Rattus norvegicus: one gene and its partners. The protein of the gene in region 3 interacts with the protein of the main gene of each other region in a pairwise test. Links are inferred from orthologs where the notes say so. Each region holds a gene or a part of one and is shown on either strand. Other genes may lie near its edges. The genes, in order: Synj2, Sos1 and Itsn2.

Region 1 (3,647 bases), on a different chromosome or scaffold from region 3:
GCCCAATTCTACACATGGAATTCATCTGTGCCATATACACCTTGATAAACACACACACACACACACACACACACACACACACACACACACACACACTCATGCACTTACGCATGCATGCACACACACACATGCACACATGCACACATAGTAGTTTTATACATTTTCAGTGCTGCTGGCTTTGACTGTGATCCATCACATGAGGTCAGAGGTGGAGGATTCTCCCCTGTGATGCTATTCCCCCACCCCTACATCATATCTCATCAATACTGAAAAAGCTTCAGCTGCTGTAGCGTTTAAGATTTCAGAGTCCTAGACTGGGACTGTCCATGCTGGAGTAGCCTTGGAGAAAGACAGGATTGCAGCATGCCCAACACTCATGGCAAGCCTTGCTCCGTTAGCCCCTTGCAGCAGCATAGAATAGAGGCCGCATCTCCTATAGGTTACGACTAGTTCTAGCACTTAGCTCCTAGCATCACAAAATCTCTGCACATTGAGAAAAAGACGAACTACTCCCTGGAAACCCCTCCGAGTACTTAGGAACGGAAGAGTCTTGTAGCTAACAATAACACTGGAAGGCATCACTCTAGAAGGTGACACCATGGTGCTTGCTAAACATTTTGACAAATGAAAACATAAATATCTGTATTAAAGTTTATGAGGCAGCCTACAGCTGCTGATTCTGTGCCATAGCTCTCTGTACCCAGATCTTGCTGGGAGAGAGCTGGTCTCCCAGGAGTGCTGACACACCTGAGAGCACCACTTCTGCTCAGAGGGACCTGCCTGGAGCCCTTAGGACACAGGAACCAAGGAACAGTCTGGGACAGGATCCTTCCAGTTTCTGTCTGTGCCTGGAGAGGATATTGTGCCACAGCTCTCTGTACCCAGCTTCTGCCAGGAAAGAGCTGGTCTCCCAGGAGTGCTGACACACAGGTTTACAGGAGGATCAAGCCACTGTCAGAGACAGCTAACACCAGAGATAACCAGATGATGAAAGGCAAGTGCAAGAACCTAAGCAACAGAAACCAAGGCCACTTGACATCATCAAAACCCAGCTCTCCCACCACAAGTCCTGGATACCCCAACACACCAGAAAAGCAAGATTCTGATTTAAAAATCACATCTCATGATGATGTTAGAGTACTTTAAGAAGGACATAAATAGGGCTGGAGAGATGGCTCAGCGGTTAAGAGCACCCGACTGCTCTTCCAGAGGTCATGAGTTCAATTCCCAGCAACCACATGGTAGCTCACAACCATCTGTAAAGAGATCTGATGCCCTCTTCTGGTGTGTCTGAAGACAGCTACAGTGTACTTATATATAATAAATAAATAAATCTTTAAAAAAAAAAAAAGGACATAAATAGCCCCTTAAAGAAATACAGGACAACACAGGCCAACAGGTAGAAGCCCTTAAACAGGAAACACAAAAATTGCTTAAAGAGTTACAGGAAAATATAGCCAAATGGGTGAAAGAATTGAACAAAACCATTCAGGATCTAAAAATGGAAATAGGAACAATAAAGAAATCACAAAGGGAGACAACCTTGGAGATAGAAAACCAAGGGAAGAGATCAGGAGTCATAGATGCAAGTATCACCAACAAAATACAAGAGAGAGAATCTCAGGGGCAGAAGATACCATAGAAAACATTGACACAGCAGACAAAGAAGATGCAAAAAGAGGGGTTGGGGATTTAGCTCAGTGGTAGAACGCTTGCCTAGGAAGTGCAAGGCCCTGGGTTCGGTCCCCAGCTCCAAAAAAAAGAACCAAAAAAAAAAAAAAAAAAAAAAAAGAAAATGCAAAAAGCTCCTAACCCAAAACATCCAGGAAATCCAGGACACAATGAGAAGACCAGACCTAAGGATAAGAAGAGAGCGAAGATTCCCAACTTAAGGGCCAGTAAATATCTTCAACAGAATCATAGAAGAAAATTTCCATAGAATTATAGAAGAGATGCCCATAAACATACAAGAAGCCTACAGAACTCTAAATAGATTGGACCAGAAAGACATTCCTCCCATCACATTCTAGTCAAAACACCAAACACAAAACAGAGATATTAAAAGCAGTATAGGGGGAAAGATCAATTAACATATAAAGGCAGACCTACCAGAATCACATGAGACTTCTCAACAGAGACTATGAAAGCTAGATGATCCTGGGTATATGTCATACCGACCCTAAGAGAACAGAAATGCCAGCCCAGTCTATTATACCCAGCAAAACTCTCAATTACCACAGACGGAGAAACCAAGATATTCCATAACAAAACCAAATTTACACAACATCTTTCCATAAATCTAGTCCTGTAAAGGATAATGGATGGAAAACTCCAACAAAAGGAGGGAAACTACACCCTAGAAAAAGCAAGAAAGTCATCTTTAAACTAACCCAAAAGAAGATAATTCCACAAACATAATTCCATCTCTAACAACAACAACAACAACAACAACAAAAAAACAGGAAACAACAATCATTGATTCCTAATATCTCTCAACATCAATGGACTCAATTCTTCAAAAAAAAAAAAAAAGACATAGACTGAAAGACTGGATATGGAAGCAGGACCCAGAATTTTGCGGAATGCAGGAAACACTCCTCAATGACAAAGACAGACACTACCTCAGAGTAAAAGGCTGGAAAAAAAATCTCCAAGCAAATGGTCTCAAGAAACAAGCTGGAGTAGCCATTCTAATATTGAATAAAATCAACTTTCAACCAAAAGTTATCAAAAAAGCTAAGGAAGGACACTTCTTACTCATCAAAGGAAAAATCTACCAAGATGAACTCTCAATTCTGAACATCTATGCTCCAAGTGCAAGGACACCCACATTCATAAAAGAAACTTTATTAATGCTCAAAGCATATATTGCACCACACGTAATAGTAGTAGGAGACTTTAACACCCCACTTTCATCAATGGACAGATCATCGAAACAGAAATTGAACAGAGTCACAGTAAAACTAACAGAAGTTATGAACCAAATGGATTTAACAGATATCTATAGAACATTTTATCCAAAAACCAAAGAAAATATCTTCTTCTCAGCACCTCATGGTACTTTCTCTAAAACTGACCATATAATCAGTTACAAAACAGGTCTCAACAGATATAGGAAGATAGAAATAATCTCATGTATCCTATCAGATCACCAGGGACTAAGGTTGGTCTTCAATAACAACAAAAAGGCAATGCTCGTAGAGTCAAGCTCCTGGAACAGGCTGTAGGAATCCATGTTTGTCCTTTCCCAAATTACCATTCTTACATACCCTGAGAGTCCACTGCTCCTGAGAGCTGGGGTGCATCCAGGAGCCAGTCAGTGAGTTCAGTGGTCCCCAGGAGATTGCTACGGAATTGTTTTCCTCCGTTCACATTCCAGGTCCCCATAGCAATCTGGATCCGCTTGAAATTTGTGAATTCTGACTGGCGTTCTGTCATGGCCTTCAGGATCCTGGGTGTTGCTGTTAGTAACCAAAAGAGGCATATGTTTTCTGCAGCCTAGACTGTAGAAACCCTCCTGTATTGTATGAGATGTGGCCTGTCAGAGAATGTCACTCATGAGCTGGGGACAACAGACCGACATACCCACCCTAACCACTCTACTTTCCTGTCTGCAATAAAGCATGAAAAGATAGGGCTGGAAATGT
Region 2 (4,280 bases), about 13 Mb from region 3:
GTAAATCCGTGTATGCATTATAAAAGGAAAGACTTGAAGATTTCATTCAGACCCTATAAGGTGGTCTAAAAGATGGTGGTTTCAAACATTTTTTCTTCTGTGAGATCTTGTTTATTGTACTTCAAAACAGCAAGACCTAATGTCAATTTGAACCCAGGCTGGTTCTTCCAACTGTCTCGTCATCTATGAAATGAAAACTGAGAATTAAAACAACGCTGTACTCAGAAAGAGTTCAATGATAAGGCACAATGTGCCATAGCGCTGCACAGTGCCACTATAATAAGCATCTCCATCCTCACGATGGAAGGACAATTCATAGATACTGCTTTTATAGCATTCCGCAATTTTCACGTCTCTATTCTGGGTCGAGTACCAAGGCGAGGTGAGGGGTGGGGGGGGAATCTCTGTCTTCCAGAAGCTAATTATCCAGTTGAAGCTATGAAAGATCCCAAGCAGGACGACTAAATCCACAAATAAAAGCTCGTGGGTTTGAGTAGACACACGATCAATAAATACTACACGTATCCGTTCTCATGGCATGGAAAGGCAGATGGAAAAAAGCAGTCTCTCCTCCCACCAGACAAACCCTGAGCAGTCGTTTTTTTGTGAGAGGAATCTATCTTTTGTGCAATCTGTTTAGTATACAGTGCATGCTCAGGGCACTCCTTATCTTCGTGCTGGGAACAAAGTACACACACCCCTTTTCTAAAACACAGGGCCTAGGATCTCCTAGAACTGGATGGGCTCCCCGCCTGCCGGACCACACAAAGGGGGCGCTTTGCCTGCTCGCAGGCCCCCACACCCAGACACTTTCTCGGGTCGCGGGTTCGCTTTCAGGGTCCCTCAGCCCCGCCTCTGCGAGTGCCCTCCCCAGCCTCTGGCGCGCACCCCTCCTCATCCGCGGGCAGATGGAAAACCCGGAGCGAACCGGCCTGGGCCGCTGGCGCATGCTCAGTTGCGAGCAGGTTCAGTTTGCTAGTAGGAAGCTCCAGCGCTACACCGGCGGCGGCGGCAGCGGCAGCAGCAGCGACGACGGCCGAGCGGCCGGATTCCCCGGCAGCGACCTCGGGCCCTTCTCCTTCCTCACCCGATCCCGGTCCCGGCCCGCCCCGCTCTGGGCCTCTCGCTTGAGTTCCCCGCCCGCGAGCGGGCGCCACCGGCCCGAGCGTCCCTCCACGCGCCGTCTCTCGGAGGGCCAGGCCGTGCGGGGGAGCTCAGCCCCGGCGGAGGGCGGCCCGGGGCGGAGCGGGGGGCCTGCCCCGGGGCGGTGGTGCGGGATGCCGCCGCCGCCACCGCCGGGCTGCGTTGCCTCTCGACGAGCGGCGCGCGTGTCCGGTGGGTGCCCGGCCGCGGGCCTCGCCCCCCAGACTCCTCGCCAGCGCTAGCCGGGCCGCGCGGCGCCCCGAGGGGGCCGGGCTGTGCGCGGGCTGCGGCCCTTCTCCGCGCCGCGAGCCGCCGCCCCTCCGTCCGTCCCGAGGCGCCCCGCAGGCACCATGCAGGCGCAGCAGCTGCCCTACGAGTTTTTCAGCGAGGAGAACGCGCCCAAGTGGCGGGGGCTGCTGGTGCCTGCGCTGAAAAAGGTAGGGGCGCGGAACCCGCTTCCCGGCCCCAGTCCGCTCGGGGCCGGGTGAGGGCGGGGAGGCGGGGCGCCACCGCGGTCTTTCTTCCCGGTCTCGGGTCTCGGGGAGGTCTGCTCAGGCTGTGAGGTTCCCCGCGTCCGCTGCTCCAGCTGTTGACACTCGCCCGGGGTGCGTGGGAAGGCCGCACACAGTCGGGGAGGGTTGGTCTGGATCATCCAAGCACCGAGGCGAGGGTTGGAGGAGCCTCGGTTTTCCGTGGAGGTCAAAGAAGGCCATTGCCTACCTTCTCGATCTTACCGAGCTGCGGTCAGTCTCTCGTTTTAGGAGTCCAGGGCTCTCACTGGCTCGAAAGTGCCCTGGCCACAGTGCTTGCCTAAGTAATTGCGAGGTTGCCTGCCAGTAAGAACATGGCCTGCTTGGTTTTGCTCGTCCTCAGTCATAACTCCCCGTTCTCTTGACACCCTCCCCCCTCCCATTACAGGAGTGATGCACATGCCACTGTATTCAGATTGGTTCTTTTGAAGTAGCTGAGAATCTTCGAACCTCGTTTGGTTTGGTGTTTTGCATCTTTAGTCTTTGTGTCTTTGAGTTTGCCAGAGGTTGAAGTAAATTATTTGGAAATTATTTGCTACATTTTAAAAGCTTCTAAAGCAACTGTCTGGTTTGGCATTTTGAATTTATGTTTGCCAGTAGTTATCCGTGGCTGTTGATACATTTCGAAAGCTTCTAAAGCAACGCTTGTACCAAGACATCTGAAACAGGTGTGTTTGAATGGATTTTTAAAACCAGATTGGTTTTTGTTTTTATTTGCCTTACCTGTAGAGATTGTTTTACTCTTCCAGGAGTTTTAATCTCGATTTCTTGTTGCTCAGATGATTTTCATGCTCTCTTTGCTAAAATACAGTTTTGTTACTACTGAGTATTGAGTACAGAGTTTGCTGTACCATGCAGAGCTTTTCTATAACCAGAAAGTGTTTTCATACTCCACAGAGGCCAGCACCTTTTAGTTTCTCCTTTGCACTGTTCTCCCCTTCCCCTCTTGGTATCTTATGCTGGAAAACTGTTTGCTTTTTTGGGAGACTTTGCTTTTATTTTTCAGACTTGGGTTACTGGTTTTTATCCTCAAATGTCTTACAAATCTCTAGGTTTTCTAAGGAAATCAAAGAGGTCACCTCGTTGTGCATACTTTGTTCATTAGAGATCCCATGAGGCTTCAGTCCATTTTTACCTTGGCTTTACCTGCACACTTGCCTGCTTAGTTTGTAGAATTGGAGAAGTATGCCTCATGACGCTAGAAGTTTGGTATCTTGACAGGACAAGATGAGACAGAAAAATTGATTTATATGTACAAAAGCTCTCACAGAACATTACCAGTTTGAGGTATTCGGCTTAAAAGCAGGTAGCTCCTATTCTAAGGAGACCTCCACAATATCACTTGAGGATCCTTTGGAGTGGTAGGAAGAGCATTGTAGAAGTTGGCAGACTACTGTAACCTGCCTCATGGGTGGCCCTCGCAGAAACCTATTTTGTGTGGCTGGCATTCTGGGTCTTTTTGTTCGTTGTTTTGTTTTTCATTTTATGTAATCAGTTGCCAGTATCTTAAGATGAGAAATGTCGGGGTTGGGGATTTAGCTCAGTGGTAGGGCGCTTGCCTAGCAAGCACAAGGCCCTGGGTTCGGTCCCCAGCTCTGAAAAAAAAAAAAAAAAGATGAGAAATGTCACATACAATCTGAGTTCTTATTTTTTTCTTGAATTAGAGATGGACTTGCCATACATTTTCACCATCAGAAAACTGCTGGAGTTGTGAGTGACTGCCTTCTGTGGAAAGGGTTTTGTCCCCAGTTCACCATAGTGTGGCTTGTGTTCTATAGCTTCGCGGTTGGCTGGCTTTCCGCTTGAAGCAGAGCCGTCCCTGCAGAAGTGAGATGAAGAGGGAGTTTACAGGGTCCCTAATGCATGAGGTTCTCCTCATTCACATTCCCACCTGCAATGCTCTTAGGACACCCAAGACAAGGCTGGATATATTTCTCATATTCAGAATATGCTCTTGTAGCTTAAAACTTGAATATTGTATGTGTGTTGGACTTTTCATGAAGATGCGTCCTTGGACATTTTGTGTGGGTGTGTCCTTATCCTGAAATCTTCAGACTTTAAACTGCTTGTATAATGCCCACCAGTGTGTTTTCTTAGCTGAAGCTTTTTGGACAGTCTGCTCATTTGATCTGGCCTACTACTACTCAGCCTCAGAGATTCTTCTCAGGCGCTCAGGGTTGCGTTGGATAGTGCTCCATTGTTTCTTCCTAGTGTCCTATCCTAATTTACTTGTCCATATTCATGTTAGCTACCCTATGGGACTTCTACACCGGTGCTGTACCTGACACCTGTTAGGACTCATTTTGAACAAGTGTCTTTGTCTGTTACTTTGAGTTTGCCAGAGGTTAAAAGTAAATTATTTAGAAATGTTGCTACATTTTTTTAAAGCTTCTAAAGCAACATTGTAACTTAGTAAATCTTCAACTCTTTCCTCCTCCTTTTGGTTTGGGATTTTGAATTTCTAGCCATTATATGTTACTTTTAGTTTGCCAGTGGATAAAGTTATTTGGAAATGTTGCCAAGTGTGTAAGGGGATACTCATAATAAAACTGACCCCCACCACCAGTTTCTAACTTCTTGGTTAATGGCTTTAAACTTGTATTTGAC
Region 3 (3,647 bases):
GGTAAGCAGCTTGGTGGTTTCTGTTTTCCTGCTTAGCAATCAAACCCTTGTGATCCAAGCACACCCTGGACAGGAAATGCCAGCATTGTGAGATCAGGTTCACAAAAACTCTAGGCGTACCACTGCTTCCAGTTCAAGGTGGAGACTTTTCTTTTTAGAATTCAGCCTGACAATTTCCTCTTGTTCTCTATTCTTTTGATTGAGAAGCTCCTGTCGACGGATTCTTTCCCATTCTAAACGCCGTTGTCTTTCAAGCTCCTGTTTTGCTGCCTAAATAAAATTAACAAATTACTGTTAACATTTAAATTTATGAAACTCTGCGTTATTCAAAGTCTCATGGGATGACAGCATTTCGGAGTGGATGGCCACACTGCCTAAAGTAAGTAGAGGTAGTTTCCCAATGCACCTAAGCATAGCCACAGAGGTAGCTTTTATTCATCACTTCTAATTGCTTCACAGAACCATCTTTTTGTTAGATAGTCATTCCTCTTTTAAAAAGTCAAAGGAATTAGAGCGCTGGCCTAGGAAGCGCAAGGCCCTGGGTTCGGTCCCCAGCTCCAAAAAAAAAGAACCAAAAAAAAAAAAAAAAAAAAAAAGTCAAAGGAAGGCTTCATAAGTATAAAAAACAAGAGAAATACTTATACCTTTATTCTGGTATCAGAGGAGAAACGATTTCATTTATAACTTTTCAGAACGCTGTAATTTACTGACTTCCATTCCTGGCCCTTAACAACAGTGTTTCTTGGAACCCTAGGCTGACTTCTTGACTCACCTTTGTGTCTTCACCTCCCTAAAGTTTGAGTCTGGTCCTTCGATTCTTCACAGTTTGATTGTGAATTCTAAGACTGCCTTCACCCAGTGACCTCGTCTGCCTGACTTTCTGATGTCCACTAACTGTAGCTCTTGGCTTAGCTCAGCTGTGCAAACAGTCCTCTGACTGGGGCCTCACTTACACATGATCCAGGTTTCCACAACTCTGCCATGAAGCCCTTCCTGTCCTTATACACAGAGATCCATTCTCTTTCCCTCATCAAGGGAAAGGAGATGCAGCTCTGTTCAGGGTAAAGAACAGTGACATGATTTAGATGGGAAAGCACAGCACCACGTCAGCATATTCTTACTAAACGCTGCGTACTCAGTCAGAAAATTACCTCTCGTCTTTCTATCTCTTTTCTCCTCTCTTCCTCCCTCTGTCGCTCCAGTTCCCTTTGTTTCTCCAAGCGTTTCTCCAACTCCAGCTGCTTTTTCCATTCTTGCTCTTGTAGTTCTCTCTGTTTTCGCTCCCACTCTTCCTTTTCTTTCTGGGCTTTGCGCTCAGCCTCCCTTTGCTGCTGCTCCATCAACACTTGGCGTCGCTTCTCCAGCTCCATGTTTCCTCGTTCATAGTTGGCTTTCCGTTTGTCCTCAAAAGTAACTAAAAAGGAGAGGGAGCGGGGAGGGGGGACTATGCTTTGTCTCAAGCCTACAGCCTCTCATCTAGTTTAACGCACTCTGCTTAGTAGTCGCCTAGGAGGTCTTTTGCTCTTGCTCTCAGATACTTCTAACTCACATGGAAATAGGAAAGTACTTCCTGTAAAATACTCACTTAAAACTCCAATTTTCTACATCTAACTCTATTCAAACACCAATAAAATACTGGTTTGCCTTTTCTCAGTGCTTTCTTCAAGTAACCATGGTTGTGTTTCCTCTGCATACACACACACACACACACACACACACACACACACACACACACATTAACTTTCTGAAGAAGGTGGTTTTTGGTTTGGTTTGGTTTATAGTGCTGGAGATTAAACTTAGTATGAGCTAAACATTCTACTATTGAGCTATAATTCCAGTCTTTTTACTACCTTTTAAATAATTTAAAATAATCATATGTGCATTCTTTCAATGAATATTTAAAACTTTTTCATTAAAATTTTTCATTAAAAATTTTACGAACCTTGATCTGATTCTACCCAATGTGGAAAAAACACTAACTTTTCAAATATATACATGCTCCCTCTCTTCCTTCATCATTTTTAGTTTTATTCTTCATTGAGATATACAAGTAATTTAAAACATCCCAACGAGCTGGTGATGTTACGTAAGTGTATGTGTTCAATCCCCAGTAATACAGGTGCACGCATGCGCGCACACACATGGACATAGACACAAATGTCACCCATTCACTATTTTCATGTAGCATATAATTTTTTTTTTTTTGGTTCTTTTTTTCGGAGCTGGGGACCGAACCCAGGGCCTTGCGCTTCCTAGGCAAGCGCTCTACCACTGAGCTAAATCCCCAGCCCCGCATATAATTTTTAAGTCTATAAATACTCTAAATATTTGTTTGTACTTCAAAAGTAAAATTTAAAGAAATTACGATTGTGATTTTAAAATAAATTAATTAAAAGTATAAAATTATCACCTGGCAATTTCTTCTGCGGTTCCTCTTCCTGTGTTTTCTGATATGAAGGCAGAGTTCCATTAATGGAGTCAATCTGCTTCCCTCCTCTAAGAAGGACACACAACAAAGAGCATCATAAAGCCTGAGAATTTTCAGATAAAAAATGCAGATCACCAACAATTAAAACAAGTCCATATTTAAGATACAGTAGCAAGGATATTTACACCACAGCATGCCTTTAGTCACAATATACAAAGTACTAGGATATTAATCAGAGAGATCCAGTGTGGGCGAGTTTTTCTTAATCTTTTCAGTTAAACTTTTCTCTTTTATAGCATAGGGAGAACAACCCCTCTGTTATCTACTTCCCAGCGTGACTCACACAGTATAAGACCGAAGGGCAGAGCAAACCTGTGACTCTCCTCTAAACTGAAGCACAGGCTCCAGAGAGGTAAAAAAACAACACCTAAGTGACTGAAGCAAACCACGGCTCTGCAGACACGCACCTGAAAGATGGAGGGACGAGCTCAGGAGGCAACGTGAGTGGTAGCGGCTGTCCAGCTTTGGCCATGTCAGTGAGGTGCATCGCCAGAATAAACTCTTCAGCTTTCAACTGTCCGTCACCATCAATGTCAGCCAGAGTCCTAAAGGCAACATGACCAATCACAAGTTACAAAGTCTACTTAGAGTTTTTACTGACTTTTATTTTTATGAAGAACGACATGATAAATTCTAGATTAATATATTTTAGGAAAACGTAAATACATACCAAAAAAAGTCAACTTTTACTCTTAATTTTCATAGTCCAAAAGAAAGAGAAGACAGTGAATCATCATAGCAAATGCTCCTTCTGGGAGGGTGGTTTATGACATTTCATGTTGCAATCTCTGGATTGCAACATAAGTCAATAAAGAAAGCTACACTGTTGCTTATAAAATCAAGGTTAAGTTCCAAGCATGTACACTTTCCTGCTGAATGTAACTTCCAAATGCTCACTTTTATGGAACATTCTGGCATAACAAATTTTTATAGAAACAATGATTTTATGTTTGTTCTTTCAGAAGCCATCTTCCAGAGCGGCTTTTTATGATAGACTGTATATAATTTGAAATCACTGATGGGTACACTCACCAAATAGTGGCTAGCTGAGTTTGAGAAAGATTTGATTGAAGAAGGGCATTTCTAGCTTGAAAACCTGATTGAGAAAAGCATAAAAAGAAACAACTTTAGTTTGTTAAGTCTTGCAGATAATGTTGCT

The links.
Region 1: the proteins of Itsn2 (region 3) and Synj2 interact in a two-hybrid assay, tested with the Homo sapiens proteins (2 studies listed by BioGRID and IntAct). The link is inferred for Rattus norvegicus from reciprocal best matches to the Homo sapiens genes ITSN2 and SYNJ2.
Region 2: the proteins of Itsn2 (region 3) and Sos1 interact in a two-hybrid assay, tested with the Homo sapiens proteins (2 studies listed by BioGRID and IntAct). The link is inferred for Rattus norvegicus from reciprocal best matches to the Homo sapiens genes ITSN2 and SOS1.

The regions. Positions count from the first base shown.
Region 1 is NC_086019.1:48,993,283-48,996,929, reverse strand, and holds part of Synj2 (synaptojanin-2), read right to left. Parts: intron 3,462-3,647; coding exon 3,270-3,461; intron 1-3,269. UniProt on the Homo sapiens protein: Inositol 5-phosphatase which may be involved in distinct membrane trafficking and signal transduction pathways. May mediate the inhibitory effect of Rac1 on endocytosis.
Region 2 is NC_086024.1:20,284,637-20,288,916, forward strand, and holds the start of Sos1 (son of sevenless homolog 1), read left to right. Parts: upstream 1-1,480; 5' UTR 1,481-1,493; coding exon 1,494-1,580; intron 1,581-4,280.
Region 3 is NC_086024.1:33,370,880-33,374,526, reverse strand, and holds part of Itsn2 (intersectin-2), read right to left. Parts: intron 3,585-3,647; coding exon 3,521-3,584; intron 3,034-3,520; coding exon 2,896-3,033; intron 2,497-2,895; coding exon 2,411-2,496; intron 1,415-2,410; coding exon 1,152-1,414; intron 1,053-1,151; coding exon of another isoform or gene 954-1,052; intron 271-953; coding exon 121-270; intron 1-120.